Linked DNA regions of Danio rerio. The protein of the gene in region 2 binds, or shares a complex with, the protein of the main gene of each other region. Links are inferred from orthologs where the notes say so. Each region holds a gene or a part of one and is shown on either strand. Other genes may lie near its edges.

Region 1 (4,382 bases), on a different chromosome or scaffold from region 2:
ATAATATGAATAACACTCTGTAAAACGATTGTTTTTACACTACAGTGAGAGTTGGGTTTAGGGTTGGGGTATACAATAATAAAATACAATTAATAGGTTATTTAATAAATAACAAATTATTCTTGTTAACTTCTGGCCACAGCTGTATCCCTTTTAGCAACATCCGAGAGAGTTTGTTTGGCTTTTTCATGGCAAAAACAGATACAATTTATAAACATTTTTTAATTTTAAGATCACTTTCCTACAACCAAAAAGGTTTATAACAATAAAAATACATTTAAAAAATGTAATGATACATAAAATACAAATCTAAAAGATTTATTTTTGATAAAAATTCGATTATTTTTGATCTCAGCGCTAACAGTTTTGTACGTTTAAAAACATCTTAATGTAATCATCACAATGCAACTTACTTTTTAATATGTGGTGTGTTTATAACAGGACTTGCTGGTAAAATTAGCTTTCCGATAAAAGACATCTATGAAGTTTCTTAAAAACAAACATCCAATTTAAACTGTGTATAGGATTTGCCTTATAATAGTATGCTGTTGTTTTACTTATAGTAAAGTAATATTAATTTACTTACACTTTTTTTATTTAATGTAAACATTTTCGTTTAATAAAGTAGGTTTTTCACAAAAAAATAAATAAATAAAATAAATAAATAATAATAATAAAGAAGAAAAAACAGATCTCAGTTTGTAAAACCCAATCCTAGACCAGTGGTTCTCAAAGTGGGGGTCGGGACCCGCTGGGGGGTCGCATAACAATGACAAGGGGTCGCTTGGTGATTTCCAAAGTCAAATAAGTTTTATTAAACTATTTGAATGACCATATTTTACTCATAACCCACAGAAGATAATAGTTGTGTTAAATAAACAACAACATACAAATAAACAAAAACAAAATTATTATTATATTATTATTATCTATTATAAACAAATAAAAATCAAAGTCATCAGCCTTTACGTTTTATATTATAAATTAATAAATGAATATAAAAAATATATACGGTTAATAGACTGTTGCATTTATGTGTTGTCAATGTGCTCATGTTTATACATGCCTATAGTTGTGTCTACAAGGTTTATATATTTACAGTGTAACCACCTTGAAAAATGGGGGTCATGAGTCACTGACATTGTTATTTTGGGGGTCGCGGGCTGAAAAGTTTGGGAACCCCTGTCCTAGACTATAGTACCTTGTAATGTTTGCCAATTCTGCAACTGTGATCTTGAAACGGTTGACCATCTATTTCTTCATTGTAATTTGGTTAGTTCTTTCTGGTCTGATGTGGACAATTCGATAAAACAATAAATTTCAATGTTTCCTTCTATTTGTTAGAACATTGTAAAATTTGGAGTAAATTTGGACAGCAAAGAGGAAATTGTTTACTAGTTTACTTAAAAACTTCATTCATAAATGCTAAATTTTGAAAGCAGCTCCTCAATTGACTGCGTTTAAAAAGGAGTCTGCCACATACGCAGAAGCTTTAAAAATAATGAAGTGTGAGAAGGCTATATACAACTGTATGATTTGTTTCAAGAATATGCTTCTATTTAACCCTTTGCAGAGTTTCTGTTTGATGTCTGCGCAGCATGTTGTTCTTTTTTTGTTATGATATTTTATAAATTGTACAATATATTTTGATATTTGATAAAAGGTTATAAATTGTTTTATAAATGTGTATGTTTGTGTAATTGTATGGCTTTATATTTGATTCACTGTATATCTGACATGCCTCAGTCAGTTTGTGCAAGATTATGTTTGGATTGAGTTTGGCCTAAATTGTCATGTTTTTAAAAGGCAAGTAAAAAAAATTAATAACTATATTACCTCAAAAGTCATTGGTAAACCAATAATAATAATAAAAAACATACTAAAAGCGTGGACTTCTTAGTAAGTGAGGATAACTTAAAATGTATTTAATGTCAGTTTTCTGATATTAAATCTCCATTCCTGTCACAATCTGTTATTTGTTACAGCATATAGATATATTTACACAGTTGCAGTCTACCTAGGCACTAGGCAACATGTTGATCACCATAAGCAAATGCCCATGACACCTAAATCCTAAATAGACTGTATTTATTTTAAATATGCAGCCTTTAAAAGGCATGCAAAGCGATATCTGATTCCCATAAAGCTGTGTAGGTAAGCAGCTCATAGATTTGAGCCACAGCCAAGAGTCTCTGTCAGGATAAATGAGAAAGTTTTCCTCTAAATAATGATTAACTGTCTACGACTGTAAGAAATACAGTAAATATCCAGCCTGAACACGCTGTAATCATACGGACAGCTCTGATACATGGCTGTATGTGAATGAAACAACGCTCCGCATGACAGTTAAAGTCTTTTAAAGAGCTGATCTCATGTTAGCAGATTAGCTGGTTAGCTTCAGATGAGAGTGCGCTTCATTTATAAGCACTAAACTTCATTTGAACTCTCAAACGTGTTCGTTCTGGACGTGAACATGTCAGGAGGTGTGAAGTGAGCGTGTTCTGTGCTGATTTACCTGTGGAAAGACGATGAAACGGGTCAGAGTCAGCGCATCCCTGCTGTCATGCTAAAGCTAAAGCTAATCCCAGCGTTCAGCCGAACCGGATCGGTTCTGGATCTGCGTTGAAGCAGGGGAAAGCTCGTCTCTTGTGCTTGTGGTGATTTTTGGTTCATCAGATGATCATTGTTGACATTTTCACAGCTTCACGTCCTCCAGACCCCCGTGCCCGAACCGAACCCGCGCTGATCCGGACCGGCTCCCGTTAAACCTCCGCCTTCCCCAGATCCCGCACTCCTCTACATCAATGTTTGAAGAATCCGGATGATCCCGATGAACTCGACACGACCACACGGAACCAGAGAATCGCGGATCGGCCGCTGATTGATCGCAGTTTCTCTTTTTGTTTGGGTCCGACAGAGTCTGCGCAAAAGATACGCAGAGATGAGCGACGCGAGCACCTCGCAGATTTTTTGCGATTGCGCAACACCGGGAGCGTCGCGGACTGGTTTGAAACGAAAAACCTCCGCAGTTTGAGGACGTCATCATTTGCAAGCACGTGGACGGCGGAGTACGGAAGTGCGGAGATGCTCGCATAAGCTGATGTGAACGCACATAGGTAACGCTCATTTAGAGTTCAGCTAGAATTATTATGTAGAAAACAAAAGGCTGTTTAATTATAATGCTTGCCAGATATTCATGCGATAAGTGCAAATCGCTCATTGACAGCGTATCCAACATTATTATAGAGGTCACGCAAACCCTGTCACGCGCTTCAGGTCACTGTTGGTGTCTGTTTTTGTTTTGTAGTTAATGCTAGATGAAGATTTGAACATGATTATGATGATAATTAGCTATAGTTATGGTTAAAGTAACATTCTGACACCTGCCAGCAGTAGTGGAAAGATATGGAGTCAATCTAGGGTCATATATACCTGCAACATGAAGGAAAGTTTTGCAAACAAAAAATAAAATAGAAAAATAATGCAAATGTCAAAAAAAAATGCTATATTGAGTTTTGAGAAATAAAAAGGAATTTTGCAAACAAGAATAAAGAACTGTAAATAAAAATCAAGTAGTGCAAAGAACATTTTATAATTGGGATAAATTATACATATATTTGCTAAATATTTGTTTTCCAGTATTGCCTTTACAAAACCTCTCAAGTCAATTGCAATGTGTACAATGCTCATTTTGATTTGCTTTTCAGTCAACCGTGAGTTTGCAATACTGTTTTTTTTTTAATTGCACTTCACATTTTTATCTGCATTTCACTTTCTGGCCCTGATTTCAAAAGGGGGCGGAGACACTGGAACTGGGGCGTGTACAGCATGCCCAGACATGCCTCCTATGAACAAGTAGGTATTGCTGTAGCCCGAAGACCTCCAAGTGGGAGGGATTACCCCGCAAGTAGGTTGGGTGACCTCCAAGTGGGAGGGACTTAAACCACAAGTAGGTTGGGTTTAAGTGGTGTAGGTGAAGTAGATCTTAATAAAACACATCAGGTTACTGTGAGGTTGGGTTTAGGGTTAGGTGTACACATTCATAAAGCACAATATTGAACTCTAAATACAACTAAATAAGGTTTGCACAGCCCACTTGGAGCTCTAAGGCCCACCCACTTGGAGCTGGCACCGACCTCCATTTATACCCTTCTCTTTTTATCTGCATTTCACTTTCTGGCCCTGATTTGAAAAGGGGGCGGAGACACTGGAACTGGGGTGTGTACAGCATGCCCAGACATGCCTCCTATGAAGGAAATCAGCCATGATGATCAATCGTTGTATTAAGTATTTTATACGCTGTTTGGGGGGCTGTTTAAATCGTCAAAGACTAAAACCCGCAAATCAAAATGAGCCTTTCAACTGACTTGAGAGGTCTTGTA
Region 2 (3,656 bases):
GCGCATAAAGTTCATTCACATTTTTGGATCGAAACATAGCTACAGTGACACAAGTTTAACAAACATGAATTCATATTGAGTAACTGGTCCCACTTTATATTAAGTGGCCTTAACTAATATGTACTTACATAGGATATAATAATTTGTTACAATGTACTTATTGTGTAAATACATGTGTTTACTGTGTACTTATGCTTGATTAAATACATGTCTGTAATTACATCTGTAATTAACTTTTGTAATTACATTTGTAAATACACTGTTAACCATACCTTACACCTTAACCCACCCTTAAACCTACCCATGCCCCCAAACCTGTCCATAACCCAACCTCTATCCCAACTCAAAAGCACCACAAGTGCTCTCAAATACATTATAAACACAGTAAGTACTTTATATTTATTTTTTAATGTAAGTACATAGTAGTTAGGGACACTTAATATAAAGTGGGACCGAGTAACTCACATTTAAGACAATTTTTAGTTTTTGTTTTGGCAACAAAAATAATTCCAAACAAAGCTAAAGCAGAAAACTTCTAGAGCAAATTAATATGGTTTTGATTAAGGGTGCTTTCACACTTGTGAATCGATTCAGTTGTTCTTGCCCTTTGCTCTTGGAGCGGTTCGCTTTCACACTGCAAAGTTTCTAATCGGACCAAAAGAGCTAAAACAAGTCACGTGCGAGTAAACTCTCCTTACATTGGTCAGAGTGTCAGGGTTTATTTTGCAGCATCCCTCTCAGCTGTCAGGAGAGGTGGTGGTTTGGTGGTCATTGACAGGGTGCGCGCGACGTGTCTGAAGAGAGACGCGGTGGGGAGGGGTGAGAAGGGTGCGCGACGATGCCTATTTGGGGACCGGGAGGGAGACGCAAGATTACCGGGAGATCATCACTTGTTTGCGGGCATCCGGAGACTCGCGAAACTTCCCGCCCTACTCATAATTCTCTCTTCATATATAGCCGTATATGCCTATTACATATCCATAAAACAGAGTGATATAACCGCGCTCGGATCGGATCGCTTTCTCACTGCAATCGAACCGCTCCAGGGTTCGTTTCAATCGAGCCGAGACCACCTCATTCAAGCGATTTCGGAGCGATTACTTTGGCGCGGAACAGAGCGCGATTGCCCTGTTCACATATGCCAAACGAACCGCGCTAACTGGGCAAACGAGATACGTTCCGAAACAAAAGTGTAGGTGTGAAAGCACCCTAAGTTGATGGTCCAATGATCCACTCAATAAGAGTCTGTTGCTTCAGTTCAAAATGGATCATTTGAAAGAATGACAACGATCCCTCATTAAAACAGACTTGCTTCCACCTAGGGGTGATATTAGTGCCTTATTTATTCATGGAAGTTCTAAACCAGACCTGGAGTGCCAGCGCAAAAGAACACTCAGTAAAATGACATTTTAAAAATGCCAGTTTATGGAGATCGTCTGTGTCAGAATCATACTTCCTTATTAAAACCCAAATGTTTAGTTATTGAAAGAAAGAAAGAAAGAAAGAAAGAAAGAAAGAAAGAAAGAAAACAAACATACAAATAAATTCCCCAAGAAGACATAAAAAAAAAAAGACCTTTAGAGTACGAGTGGGTGCCCATCCAGTACCATCAATTGAATGCTCTCGCAATAAACTGTGGAGAGATTTTAACAACAACATAAACACAGCAGTAAAAAGGACAATGTAGAGTCTGTTGCATAAACACATCTGAAGACATGGCTATCATAGATATACACACCTCAGACAAATCTCGCCCGTTTCTGCAATGTTCGGGTGCCATATTCTAGTCAAGCACTTCACTTTGGGAGGCTGTAAAAAGCAGAATATGATTTGTTGTAGTTCAATGCAATATAAATGAACGTATTTTGCATAATGTGCTTCACACGGGTAAGTGGGCTTGACAAACCACCAGTAAAAAAACACAATCTTTAATTTCTCTGACACTTTAACTGACAGTTGCAGTTTTTTTTTTAAACAATCACTCCATATCTCTTAAAAAACCCATGTGCATTTTCCAAGTGTGCTTAACACAGGTGAGTGGGCTTGACAAACCCCCTATAGAAACATTATTCTCTCTCTCTCTCTCTCTCTCTCTCTCTCTCTCTCTCTCTCTCTCTCTCTCTCTCTCTCTCTCTCTCTCTCTCTCTATATATATATATATATATATATATATATATATATATATATATATATATATATATATATATATATATATATATATATATATAAATATAATTATATATATATATATATATATATATATATATATATATAAATATAATTATATATATATATATATATATATATATATATATATATATATATATATATATATATATAATTATATATATATATATATATATATATATATATATATATATATATATATATATATTTATATATATAAATATATATATATATATATATATATATTTATATATATAATTAATTCTCTGAGCACAAACAGATCCTTTGTATCATTAGCTCTTCTTGTGTGTATTGCCTCTTCTTGTTGAATCACTGAATGCCTCCTCAATTGTAAGTCACTTTGGACAAAAACATCTACTAAAGCAGTGTTTTTCAACCACGATCCTGTAGGACCAGCAGCTCTGCACATTTTCCATGTCTCCCAAACCAAACACACCTGATTCAGGTCATCAGCTCATTAGAAGACTAAAAAGGACCTATAATGGGCATGTCAGACAAAGGAGACACATGCAGTGACATCCAAAACATGCAGTGTTGGTGGTCCTCCAGGAACATGGTTGAGAAGCATTGTGCTAAATGTAAATGCTATGTCCAAAAATGAACAAGACTAAAGCATAAAAGACATATGCACAGATTATGCTCTGTTGTGTAAAAACAAAAAAATAAACAGAACAAAAATCTTTTTTCCATGTGTTCTAATGGGTTTCTTTTCTCCATGTGCTCTGGTTTCCCCCAAAAGTCCAAAGACATGCAGTACAGGTGAACTGGGTAAGCTAAATTGTTTCTAGTGTATGTGTGAATGAGAGTGTATGGCTGTTTCCCCGTGATAGGTTGCAGCTTGAAGGGCATCCGCTGTGTTAAACATAAGCTGGATAAGTTGGTGGTTCATTTCGCTGTGGCGACCCCTGATTAATAAAGGGACTAAGCTGAAAAGAAAATGAATGAATGAACATCTAGTCATTACAATGTTTGCTTAATGCCTGGTCTAATGCCTTACGCCTCAGTAATATCTCATTAATGAATCTAAACTTGAATCTTAAGGTTGGTGGTTTATATCTGGATCTCTGCATGTGCTACACATGGCTATTACAGGTTGTTTAAGGTCAAGGATGGGTGTTGTTATGTATGTGTGCATTTGTGTGGGAATACTTAGGCAGCTATTTTATTGAATTGGGATACTGCAGAGCATCAGTAATGCCTGCAAACATCTACTTAAGGGCCCCGCTTACAAATGGACTAATAAAATCATCGTAGCACTGCCAGTGAGTAAGTGTGGCATTACCTCATTACTTCATGATATGTCACAGGCACTTACCACCATATTATAGGCTTCAGGAACTTCGATCTCAAACTGAAACTTTCCACCAAGGTAATAGCCTTCATCTGATGAGAGGTTTAGTGGCAAAGTCAGGTTATATTTTCACTTGCAGAATATCTGAGGCATTTGA

The links.
Region 1: the proteins of ube2f (region 2) and dcun1d3 are in contact, whole or in part, in a crystal structure (PDB 4GBA), measured with the Homo sapiens proteins. The link is inferred for Danio rerio from reciprocal best matches to the Homo sapiens genes UBE2F and DCUN1D3. Residues at the interface, in NP_001265234.1 of Homo sapiens: Leu2, Thr3, Leu4, Lys7, Leu8; in NP_775746.1 of Homo sapiens: Glu108, Glu109, Glu112, Pro122, Thr123, Glu124, Met139, Cys140, Glu194, Ile204, Ala207, Leu208.

The regions. Positions count from the first base shown.
Region 1 is NC_133199.1:43,233,730-43,238,111, reverse strand, and holds the start of dcun1d3 (DCN1-like protein 3), read right to left. Parts: upstream 2,890-4,382; 5' UTR 2,516-2,889; intron 1-2,515. UniProt on the Homo sapiens protein: Contributes to the neddylation of all cullins by transferring NEDD8 from N-terminally acetylated NEDD8-conjugating E2s enzyme to different cullin C-terminal domain-RBX complexes and may play a role in the cell cycle progression by regulating the SCF ubiquitin E3 ligase complex, after UV damage.
Region 2 is NC_133176.1:8,066,456-8,070,111, reverse strand, and holds part of ube2f (NEDD8-conjugating enzyme UBE2F), read right to left. Parts: intron 3,592-3,656; coding exon 3,524-3,591; intron 1,810-3,523; coding exon 1,739-1,809; intron 1,634-1,738; coding exon 1,576-1,633; intron 1-1,575. UniProt on the Homo sapiens protein: Accepts the ubiquitin-like protein NEDD8 from the UBA3-NAE1 E1 complex and catalyzes its covalent attachment to other proteins. Together with the E3 ubiquitin ligase RNF7/RBX2, specifically neddylates cullin-5 (CUL5).